3 linked regions of the Cricetulus griseus genome follow. The protein of the gene in region 3 interacts with the protein of the main gene of each other region in a pairwise test. Links are inferred from orthologs where the notes say so. Each region holds a gene or a part of one and is shown on either strand. Other genes may lie near its edges.

Region 1 (4,034 bases), on a different chromosome or scaffold from region 3:
GTGTCTGTATTTCTCAATGGGCTAGAAGAAAAGACTTTATTCGTCAACAAAAAGAAATCATGTCTGGCCAGGCAGTGGTGGTGCACATCTTTAATCCCAGCATTCGGGAAGCAGAGGCAGGCAGATCTCTATGAGTTCCAGGCCAGCCTGGTCTACAGTGTGTTCCAGGGCTGTTATACAGAGAAACTCTGTCTTGAAAAACCAAAAAAATCATGTCTGAGGAGATAGGCTATTTAAAGATCCCACAACTTATACAACTATTTTACATATTTAAACACCGTGGCATATATTCATTTATATTCAATTATTTTTTTAAAATAATTTTATTTGTATTAAGAAAATCTACATTCCAGAAGCTTTTTTGTTTAGTTTTGCTTTTGTTTTTTGAGACAGGGTTTCTCTGTGGCTTTGGAGGCTGTCCTGGAACAAGCTCCTGTAGACCACCCGGTCCAGAAGCTTATTTTGATTCAGTCTGCCACCACACATCAAAAGTTATGTTGCCAGCCCAGCACAGAGGTGCTTACCTGTAATCCCAGCACCTAAGAGTCAGAAGAAGCCTAAAGCAGTGAGTTTGAGATTAGGCAGGGCTACACAGCATAAAGGTGGGAAAGAGGGAATACCGTTATCATATGTATGGTCCAGATGAGAAAAACTGGACTTGCTACATGTACAGTTACATAATATATCATTTTTCAATAGCAAGTGGACAGAACAAGACTGTGTCTTATCAGAAAGGGAGAAAGAAGAATGTGAACTCAACCATTAAAATACAACAAAATCAAAGGTTTATACTTAACAACTTACAGTTTATAACTGTGGAGATAGGGAAACTAAGAAGCAGAGATAATTAACTTCTGATGATCACTGCCAGAAAACAGTACAGAGAAAGAACTGAATCAAATTTACCTAACGTCATCTTCAGTGCTGTTTTTGGATCCACAGCCAAGTGGGAAAAATGCACTTTTTGCAGCAACCCAAATCTCTGGAGACCCTTGCCTAGGGAACAAGCACCAAGGGAATATGCTCGGCCTGGTTTCACACAGGCTGCCTCCCTGATCCATACAGCTCCAAGTCTAAAATGGCTTCAACGTAACACAAGCACTGCATCATGGGAAACGTACAGAAGATTAACAGGGTAAGAGCCATACTCCAGGGGCTGGCAGTCCATAAATACTTGCCATAGATGAAAGAGCATATTCAGTCTGAAAGTAGGTGTGTGGTTTAGGCCAAATCACCTCATTTCTCATGAAGACTTCATTTGTAAGATGGGTGAATGGTTTCTTATCATGTTTGAAGGCAGAGGTTAGGAAAATAATTCAGCAGTTGGTAGTGGATTTTCAGTCTTCGATTTCTAAGGTCATGCTTAAAATTCTAACTTGGATGAAGAAAGAAAGAAAAACAACAACAACAACAACCCAATATTCTCCATCTGTATGCTGCCATGGCCGTCGATCTTTAAAAAAAAAAATATATGAATAAAAAAGAAAAAGAAAAAACCTCGGACAACCCTAAGAAATGAGGTCCGCTGGATGGAGGCAGTCAAGAAGAAATCCACCAAAAAATCAAGTTAATATTCTATAAATTCCCAGCAGCTAAATGTAAAACGCTGAGTAACCTCGTGTTCAGGCCTATAAACTGTTATGTGTGGTTTCACAGAAACACTTGAGATATGGTGAGAAATGTAATTTTCACATTCTCCTTAGTGTTGCAGCTTTCTGCATTGGCTCCTGTGACATTACAGACTCATAACATCTTACAGATTGCCCCTCCCACATCAGACAAGTAAAAGCAAGAGTGGAATACTATCTGGTCTCACCAAAGGGAATGTACTGAAGGCAAGGACAAGACTTATTTTACAGAGAGACTGGCAAATTCTCAGCAAGGCTGCCACCTTTGGAATCCGCCCTGCACGCAGGTTCTCCATTTGCAATAGACCCAGATGCGCTCATCTTGGAAAGAAAGGGTCCACATCCCGCCCACTCCTTCCCCACTAACAGACAAATTCCAAGCAGTAAAACACAAAATAAGCCAAAAAAAAAAAAAAAAGGTGTTTGGAGGAATTTGGGGCGCAGACACACGAGATTAAGGCAGTAAATGACGACAAATATCATGAGAAGCCTCAATTCTCAGCCTGATCTCCCCCCACCCCTTTGGGAATCCGGTTTGAGTCAGTAAAACGATTCCCACAAATCCATTTCTTGATTCAAACCTCAACCCCGCTGTCAAGAGAATCTCGGGTCCAGCCGGGTTTCCCACACCGGCGATGATGAAACAGCTCTACTGCAGAGTGGGAGAGGGATTCGCCCCAGCTGTCGCCAAGGTTAAACCCTTGCTCATCCAGGGGAGTGCAGCAGGGACTCGCTCGCCTTCCGCTACCTTTCAGTTTTTGAAAGCCACAAAGGAGCGAGGTTGACAGGCCCAGAGGGAAGGCTCCGGGCCCGGGGGGAGCAGGCAGGGGCGGCGCCGAGCAGAGGAGGTGCCGAGGGGAGCCCGCGGCCCAGCCGTCCCCAGCCGCACCCCGTGCGGCCCGCCGAGAGAGAAGCCCGGGCTTCCCGCGGAGGCGCAGGCCCGGCCGGAAGCGGGGAGGGGCGGTGGCGAGACGGGCCGCGGCCGCCGCCCGAGAAGGGGCTCCGCGCTGGGGCCCCTGGGAGCCGCGCCGCACTCACCGTGGAGGACTGTAGCGAGCAAAGGCGCTTCCGGGAAGCTCGGAGGGCGGCGACTGCGTCTTCCCCAGGCCCACTCCTCAGACGGCGGCAGCAGCGGCGGCAGCGGCGGTGGCGGCGACCGGAGCTGCAGTGGCGGCGGCGGCAGCGGCTACCCGGCTCAGGAATCGGCGGCGGCGGCGGCGGTGGCGGCAGCTGCACTTCCGCTCCGGCCACCACTTCCGCTCTAGCCCAAGTCCCGCCCCACCCTGAGCCGGCTCCTCATTGGGTGAGCGAGGCACGGGGTTGCCCCGTCCTCCCGAAAAGGGCGGTGATAGCCGGAGGAGGGGAAGTCACGGAGAGCCTAGAGGGAGCGGTCGTGGGAGGGCGCAGGGCCTGGGTGGGAGCGAGGTGGGGGCGGACGCGGGGAAAGGAAGTGGGGTGGGGAGCAGGAAGAGGAGAAAGGAGAGAGGGCGGAGCTGAGGTGACCGCCCGAAGGCTGGGATGTGTGAGAACAGGGCGGGCTCCCGGAGGGAGGGTTCGGAAGCTCGGAGCGTTCTTGGTCCAGGTTCGGGGGTCATATGTTCCCACCCCACCCTGAAAATAATCCTCACGGAATCGGAGGCCCTCAGTCCTGTTAGCTGTGCGCTAAGGGAATGCTTGTAACCAAAGGAGAACAGAAATGGCTCAGCCCTACTTTTTCAGTAATTCCTATTTCAGGCCTAAAAGGTACTTACTGTTCCTCTCCTAGACCCAGGAAGCTACGTGAAGTGTCAGGAACAGAACACTCTCAAGGTCTTAAGAAAAACAAAAAACAAAAAACAAAACCACCCTCTGTATATGCATTCTTCACTGAGATTCCCTGGTCCCCAAGTATCATTTATAGGAAAGCCTCAAAGACAGGAATCCGGGGCTCTCCAGACGGTTTTCACTGTTACTTGAGATTGTTAATACTCCCGTTGACCCTTAAATCTAGCCCTTCAAAATACCTCTATCACCACTCCTTCACTTTTCACAAATTCTGTGTGGCAGCTTTCTGAACGCTGGAAAATACAGCAAGGGACAAGACAGACGGTTGCCCTGCTGTCTTGAAGCTTACAGTTCTTCGGAGAAAGAACAAATAGACCTTTGTCATTTCTCCCTTACGTAGCTTAATGATAGATTTATAATTCACCACTTGACTCAGAGCCCTGCCCCCACCAAATGCCAAGTGATCTTTTTTCATTGCCATTCTGTGTGTCCAGAACTACAGACTCAGGCATATAGTTCTATGAGTAAGACTATCAGAACTCCCCAGAAGCTGCCCTTAGTGGTTGTCAGCACCCCAATTCATTTATGGAGCTCCCTATTCTCCCAATGTACTTTCTCAGTATTTATAAACAGTTTGAGATT
Region 2 (3,956 bases), on a different chromosome or scaffold from region 3:
TGGCAATAAAAAGCCCCGTGTCTGTGTGTCTTCAACAGAAAACACTGCATGAACACTTTGTACCCTTGCAAAGTACCATAATTAAGATAATGGTTGACAGCCAATGTTTTTAAAAATCTTCAGTTACAAAAATAGGACCTATTTCCAGCACTTGGGAAATAGAGGCAGGCAGATCTGAGTTTTAGGAGGCCTGGCCTACATAGTTAACTTCCAGACAGCCAAGGCTACATACATAGCAAGACCCTGTCTCAAAAATAACATACATACATACATACATACATACATACATACATACATACATCTTCATGGGGATAAAAATAGCCTGGTAGTTCCCTTACTCATTCTTCAGCTCCTTTGCCTAGTTTGTAGAATACCATACTCTCAGAAAGATGTTATCAGTCAACTTTCTAGGAGGCTGAAACAAAGACCTTGTTAATTTGCATTGCTGAAGACATCTTTATCTCCAGTGCTTTCACAGCTGAGTATTCCTACATTCTGCCCAGCTGCCACCCAGTTGTACTTGTTTTCTCTGTTGAGAAAGGCTCTATGTACTATAGTCCAGGCTGGCCTCAAGCATATGACACCCCGCCCACACACATACACATACACATACACACATACACACATACACACACACACACACACACACACACACACACACTCACACACACATCCAACTAAGCCTCCCAAGCGCTAGAATCCCAGGTGATAAAACATCAGGCCTGATTTAACTTTTCATAAATTCGTTTCTAAAATACTATGCTCTTGGCCCACAGGTATATAGAACAGGAAATTTGTAATTTTGAAGGCTCATTGAAAAGTGTAAACTTTAGAGTCATAAGTACATAAAGCCCAAATTTTAGATACTAACAGACATTCCAAAAGAAAACAATCTAATAAACCTTACAGGTGAGGCTGGGCTTGATGGCAAACACCTTCAATACCAACACTCAGAAGGCCAGTAGAGGCAGGCTGATCTGAGTTCAAGGCCAGCCTGGTCTACATGAAGAGTTCCTGGACAGCGAGGACTACACAGTGAGACCTTGGCAATATATAAGTCAAAATAAACTTTACAGATAATTCCTTACCTGTATAGTGCAAATGTATATAAATAAAAATGTATAGATAGGATCAAGCATAAAAACTTAGCATCCTAGGGGCTGGAGAGATGGCTCAGTAAAGAGCACTTTTTGCTCTTGCAGAGGACCCTGGTTCGGTGCCCAGCACCTACATGGTAGTTCACAACCATCCATCACTCTAGTCCAGGGGGATCTGACACCCTCTTCTGACTTGTGGCCACCAGGCATACACATGATGCACATATACAGATGCAGGCAAAACACTCATAAAATAAGCCTAAATAATTATTTTTAAACAGCACTCTTTAAAAATTGCAACTAATAATGCAAGGATGTTATTTTGTCCTAGAAAATGCATTCACTGGTTAAATTTCACATACATGGCTACAATCGTAAAAGCAAACAGTATGCAACTAATGTAACAATTTGAAAACGACTTTGTTTGAAATTTAACAGAGGATGGGCAGGGTGGGGGTAGTAGTTAACAAGTCATTTCCAGCATAGTCAAATATATTCTTGTAGAAATCATATAACTTATAAGTCCAAGGTGGTGCTGTTTGCCTGTAACCCTAACATTCGGGAAGGACACAGAGATCAGAATGGAGGCCAGCGCTTGGCCTCAGCCTCGTCTCCACACCTGGAGAGCACCTTAAAGCTCCTAAGCCCACAACCAGCCCACTTTAACAAATGTTATTCAAATAATCTTTTTCAAATGTTCTTGGGTTGAACCCTAAAAGATTAATTAGTATCTGTTCCTGTACTGATCACGAAATTTCACCGCTGGCGGGAAGCAGCGATGAAAACTTTTCCACCTAAGTTTCTAACACACTACTAACTTGCAGCTCTAGAGCCGGAAATGTATCGCAGTCAAATGCCACCGCGTTTTCCAACAAAACTCTTGAGGAACAAACTGTCCTTCGTATTTCTCAGTAGAGAAATACAGGCGTCCACGCCAGCTAAGTCCTAACAGCACAGACCTGCCCGGCACCACCTTCGTACCTGTCCAAACACAGGGCAGCGTCGCCCAGGGGTCGGGAGAGGGAGGCGGAGCCGTGAAAGCAGTCCAGACAGCCTAAGAGCGAAGTCACCCTGCCCAAGATTTCGTAAAGCCTTATCTGTGGGGAGGGCGGCTTTCCAAACCCCAAGACTTAATTAATCTCTTCGCCCAGGTGAAGCCAGAGATCAGGCCAAAACGCGTAAACACAGAACGAGGCGGAGCAGGGCGTCCCCGCCTCTTCCTCCAGAAGCCACTCAAACCAAAACAGTGCGTCCAGGCTCCGGCTGGGTCCTCCCCGGCTCGCCGCGGCCTGGCGTCGGCCACCCTGGGCGCTCCCCACCGGCCTCCTGCCCGGCAGACCCCGGTTCGCCGCGGCCTAGCTCGCCCGCCTCCGCCGCGCCTCCCCGTCTCCTGGCCACTCGGGCCCACGCACACGTCACAATCGCGGCCCGGGGAAACCTGTCCTTGGGAAGGAGCGCTCCGTCACCACGGAGACGGTACCAACACGCGCCAGGCCCAGGTTCCAGGGCCGAGACGGGGCGCGAGCGCCGGGCCCCCCGCCAGGCACGCGGCCCAGACGCAGGCCTCACCCGTCAGGGCCTCCGCCCGCCGCGCTCCGCCGCGCTCCGGAGCCCCGGAGCTCCGCCACCACGGACCGGCAACTCCGCCTCTGAGCCCCAAGCCGGCGTCGCGTCACTTCCGCCCTAGGAACGCCCGTTTCCGCCACCGTCTCTGCGCATGCTCCGTGACGACACGCCCTATTCGCCCGCTGCGGGGGGGGCGGAGGGGAGTTCTTGGTGGATTTCCTCCTGACAGCTTGCTTGTCTTCTGGGGCTTTCGCTCAGTGATGTAGTAGTTACCCCAAAACACAGGCCGCTTAAGACAAGTTAATTAACTTGCCGGCGAGGTGGGAAGGATCGCCCAGAGGCGACCTGGGTCTTAAATATCAGTTTGTGTCAATACATCTGTTTAAATGTCTAGAGAACCCCCAAGAACTATTGGAGAGACCAGGGGCTCAACCATCACGTTCCTGTGTTGCCATAAAACTGATGACACTTACAGCATCACCAGCGAAGAAGAGGTAACAGATTAAACATTACAGCAACAACACATAAAATCTGCCTTCATGTTCATTTTCCACATAATTCAAGTCCACTTGGCCTCCATGAGAAAGGGCCTTAATATTTGCTGACTCATTTGTTTCTTATGTATTGAAATCACTGACGGCAGGAATTTTACAGGGGCCTCTCCATGCTTGTCCTCCAAAAGGAAACAATCTGTTGAGACATAGGCAGTTGAAGCAAAAGTTATTTAGCAAAAGTATTCCAAAGGGAGAGAGCAGTACTTTGGGTTCAGCATTGTGGGTTTTAAAGAAGTATTTATGAATGCTGTGGGTACTGTATTCATGAGGTAAGGTAAATAATATTCCCACACAGGAACATTATGAATCCGGATAGAATACACTTGCTTATGTGGGGTTCCAATTGAAACTGAACATTTAACAGAGAAAGGTAATCTATGTAGGTCAAAGTAAATTTAGAAATTTAAATTTAAATTATTTTCGCTTCCACATCATGATTAACCAAGTCTTCTATTTCTTCCTATGCTGCTCTAGCAAAACCCACAAAGGAAATGGGTTAAAACCACAATGTTAATAATAGTATGAAACTGAGGTCTTTTGAGGCTTCCCACCCTGCATTTTAGTGCAACCATGGGAAAATGCCCTGGAGTAATTAGTACTTGTGTGTGTGTGTGTGTGTGTGTGAGAGAGAGAGAGAGAGAGAGAGAGAGAGAGAGAGAGAGAGAGAGGGAGGGAGGGAGGGAGGGAGGGAGGGAGGGAGGGAGGGAGAGAGAGAGGGAGAGCCCATTTGCAGCATCGA
Region 3 (4,053 bases):
GAATTCCCCAGTGCGAAGATATTTGACTAGCAATTGAGCAACAGTTGTTGTACGTTTTGTTCTGGTGTGTAGACATTTAAACTGCGAACTGCACCCTGGACTTTCCAAGTGGGTGTGGTCAGGCTGAGCTGGAACCCGGCTACTCACTATACAAGTGAAATTGCCACAGCCAATAGACGCTGGAATTTTCATGAAGTTTCAATTTTATGCCACCTACTCCCTTCCTCATTCACCACAGTCTCATATCCTCAAATGCAGACTCCTGAATCACCCCCTCCCCAAATAGACCGCCTGTGAAGGAACCTTCCAAAGGGGCCAGGTTTGTAAAAGGAAAGAAAAGATGCTAAGAAAGCCACTTGCCACCACCACCCCACCCCCACCCCCGCCCAAAGGTCTTTTCTTTCTTTTGCATAACTTTAAGAACTTTTCTTCAAAGCAGAAAATTTAGGATTCTGGGACCCCAAATCCACATTTTCCCAACATGTTACCAAAATGCCTTTGCTTTTGTAGTTTTAGCAGTAGCATGAACCCTTTTTGATTTAAATGGCAAAGGAAATGTTTAGCATTTATATTGCTTTTTTTCTCCTCCAGGAAATCAGATATTTCCTCTGTTAAGGAAATACTATATAATGTCTGCTAGTATTCTGAATGGTAAGCAAGATAAGGCTTTTCTTTCTCTATCCCATTTCTAATTCTCTCAACTCCATCTCTCTTTCGGTAACAGAATGGGACATGGTGAAAACCACAAACTGTCAGGTATATAAGCCCCTTGATGACAAGTTAACATAATTATCTACTTCGAGGCATCACTTGACTTAATGCCAAGAACAATGTAGATAATCACTGTCTCCAGTTTTCTTTTGACTCTATTTCTAAGAGTCTAAGCTTCATAAATATAGGGAAGATGTAGAGGTGATATACAAGAGTCCCCGGAATCAAAACAAACAAAAGCCCACATCAACCCATCACCAAGTTACTCAAGTCAAGAACAGCCGAAGTTAATGTACCAATTAAGTTATTAAGTTAACGTTCCTAGCACCATCATTGCCAACAGGGATTTTCTCCTCTTGGATGTATTATTTTGACCCACAGAATGCAGTTACTGATACAAGAAAATGAGATTGTACTCTTACCAACACTGTAAGTATTTAATTGATCTCACACAATCTCCATTCTTATAATAAATGTCTATGCCCTAAAGGCAGAATTTCTGTAACTGCATGAAACAATATCATTGGCTGTTTCTGCACCATGTACATAATCTTTCTCAAAGGATGTGATTTGGAAAAAAAATACAAGACAGTAAAACTTGACATAGAAAAGAGTTATCAGAGGTAAAGGACTTCAGTTGATTGAATGCCAAGAGCAGTGTGTAGAGAAGTTCTGTCTCTCATTATCTTAGGCAACAGAACCTAGGTGAGAGAAGTAGAAACAAAAGCATCCCCTGTCCTTAACACCCACTTGTTTGCAAGTCTAGAAAATGCCATCAACTCAGGAAGAGCAAGAGCATCATAAGCGTTTTTTCTAATGACAGCGGCAAACAACTGTGACACTGGTTCTCAGTGTTCTACTTTCCTTTTGAACTTAAAACCTTTTAAATCCTTTCCATTCTGGCCAGTGAAGGTTATAGATGATTTGGCCAATGTAAGCATTAGGAAGATTAATCTCCCAACTGGGGCAATGGGGTTTAGAAATGCATTCCACAAGTCTTCATGTCCTCTATACTGTAACTCTCTCTCTCTCTCTCTCTCTCTCTCTCTCTCTCTCTCTCTCTTTCTCTCTCTCTCTCTCTCTTTCTCTCTCTCCCTCTCTCTCTCTCTCTCTCCCTCTCTCTCTCAGAAAACACCTTAAAAACACCTTAAATAGAAATATTCACCAACTGGATATAAAGATGCACACTTGCCATTCCAGCACTCGGAAGTTGGAAGCAGAAAGATCACAAGTCCAAAACCAGCCTGAGTTATACAATGAAATCCTGTCCCAGCAGCAGACTCAAATACATTCATGACCATCACCTTTCCCTTATGGAGGGTCTTTCTATAGGTGTCTGCTTAATGGCATTAAAACTTCATGGAGAAGCATTAGCAGAAACACCTCCCCCCCCCCCGCCCCCAGGTCAGTAGAAGGGTGCTGGGAGAAAAGAACAAGCCTTACCATTGGTTTTCAGAGCCACGAGCTTCCGGACTTCTCGACACCAATTGAGCTTCTTCTGGTTTTCCAAGGAAGCCTGGACGCTTCTGTCAATGAGTGCCTTGTGGATGGTCTCCCGAAACTGTGGGCAAAACTGACACATTCTGAACATCTCCAGTGTGTATCGGTGCATGGTTTTAAAATGATGAATGATCCCATTGGTAGGTTTGAAAATATCTTCTGGAGTTCTCTCTCTTATCTTCACAGCTTTCCTCATATTGCTCAAGTACAAAGCCTGAGGAAGGAGTTGTTCAGCCATGGTTCTCCTCAACAAGGCCTGAAGAGGAAGGGGAAAAGCCCGTTCCGTTAGCCTGCCTTGAACATTGTTCCCATGTACCTGTCGGCAAGAAACCCCAGTGTTTGATCTTGTCATTATTCTAATCTGTAGGTAAAAGATCTTAGTCACCTCTACTCCTAGGATACTAGCTGGCCCTGCAGATTAACTCACACTGGACTGTTTTAAGTTACATCACTTTTAAAGATTAGTCTAAACAAGAGAAGGGAGGCGGAGCGTGGGTAATGAGGAGGAGGGGAATAACCCATGCTTTCAGTAGTTTGTCAGGGAGCCAAGTCTGTCTGTCAGTGACAGGTCCTGCTCCACAAAGCCAACCTTAGATCCATTGGATGTCACCCAGGACCTCTGAATGTCAGTACAGTGCTCACCAGAGTCCTAAGTCCACCACCTAAGACCACCACCATTCTGTCCTTGCTCTTGAGCAGAACCTAGATCCAGGTCACTCAAACATCCCCTACTTGATGCTACAAAGGCAGCAAATATTTGATGGAAATCCCATGTGGCATTTAGCTGCTGCCTGGTATTTCCTCTATGGTACTGGCCCCCAAAGAAAAGTAATACATACTTGGTTCAGGAGTTTATGATATTTATAAAGAGTCAACACCAGATTGTTTTATAACTAACAACAAAATAAAGCCTTTTTTGGCAAGATGCTTTGCAATCTTAAGAGCAAATGTCAGCTCTACTTCAGAGCCCTGCCACTGAACTTCATAACATGAGACAAAAAAGCAGAGTAATAATGAGGTACACCACACCTCCCAGAAAAAACAAGACACCAGATTGCCCCGTGATTTCAACTCAACTGACAACAAACTCTTATTGCTGACATGCAGGTACCAATGCCTAAGACACCGCCCCTTCCTCATCCTTCACCTAGAAGACCAAGCACAAGCAACGATGGAGAAAATGAAATATAGAAGCAAATAGGAAAAGCATCTTGGCCAGGCTGCCACTCAGGACAATGATGAGTAGCCACATGACTACTCAAGCCAGTTGTGCAAGGCTGTGTACTGATGCACAGGGACATCCTTCCAGAGTGGAGCAATGCTGAGCCAGTTCTGCTTCACTGTCCCCATGGACCCTTAATAGGGTACTTGGCCACACAACCTGATTTCCTAGACGACAACAATGGCATAGAGCACCTAAAGAGTTTCATGGTGAAGCTTAATTCCATCAGGCATCATGCTATCTGCCAAGGCAAACCCACCAGGTAAAAAACGGTGTGGTGACTATGCAAGAAGAAGAAAGCTAGAGATTAGAGAAGCCACTCCCGTGTGGGTCCAGATTCTCTTATGCCTGATAAAATGGTCTAAATTTTTGTGCCTAGCTTGAAAGAGAGGGTTGTTACTAGGGATTTGCATTAGAATTCTTAATCTAAATGCTAGCTAAGGCCTAGAACTCATTCTCTTGTGTGATGCCAGTTATTTCTTGCAACTGGAATTAGGCAAAAACACTGTAGGGATGAGATAAAACTATAAATATCACATTTACATCTCCTTGGTGATGTAGCAAGGATCTCTTTCATGTTGTCATTACTCCATCCATCCATCCATCCATCCATCCATCCA

The links. The genes of interacting proteins can lie anywhere in the genome.
Region 1: the proteins of Tnfaip3 (region 3) and Ywhab interact in a two-hybrid assay, tested with the Homo sapiens proteins (2 studies listed by BioGRID). The link is inferred for Cricetulus griseus from reciprocal best matches to the Homo sapiens genes TNFAIP3 and YWHAB.
Region 2: the proteins of Tnfaip3 (region 3) and Tax1bp1 interact in binary tests that used the Homo sapiens proteins (3 or more experiments, as listed by UniProt). The link is inferred for Cricetulus griseus from reciprocal best matches to the Homo sapiens genes TNFAIP3 and TAX1BP1.

Annotation. Positions count from the first base shown.
Region 1 is NC_048599.1:15,522,307-15,526,340, forward strand, and holds the start of Ywhab (14-3-3 protein beta/alpha), read right to left. Parts: upstream 2,801-4,034; 5' UTR 2,667-2,800; intron 1-2,666. UniProt on the Homo sapiens protein: Adapter protein implicated in the regulation of a large spectrum of both general and specialized signaling pathways. Binds to a large number of partners, usually by recognition of a phosphoserine or phosphothreonine motif.
Region 2 is NC_048601.1:88,623,842-88,627,797, forward strand, and holds the start of Tax1bp1 (tax1-binding protein 1), read right to left. Parts: upstream 2,801-3,956; 5' UTR 2,667-2,800; intron 2,231-2,666; exon of another isoform or gene 2,079-2,230; intron 1-2,078.
Region 3 is NC_048595.1:270,723,891-270,727,943, reverse strand, and holds the start of Tnfaip3 (tumor necrosis factor alpha-induced protein 3), read right to left. Parts: upstream 2,801-4,053; 5' UTR 2,564-2,800; coding exon 2,155-2,563; intron 1-2,154. UniProt on the Homo sapiens protein: Ubiquitin-editing enzyme that contains both ubiquitin ligase and deubiquitinase activities.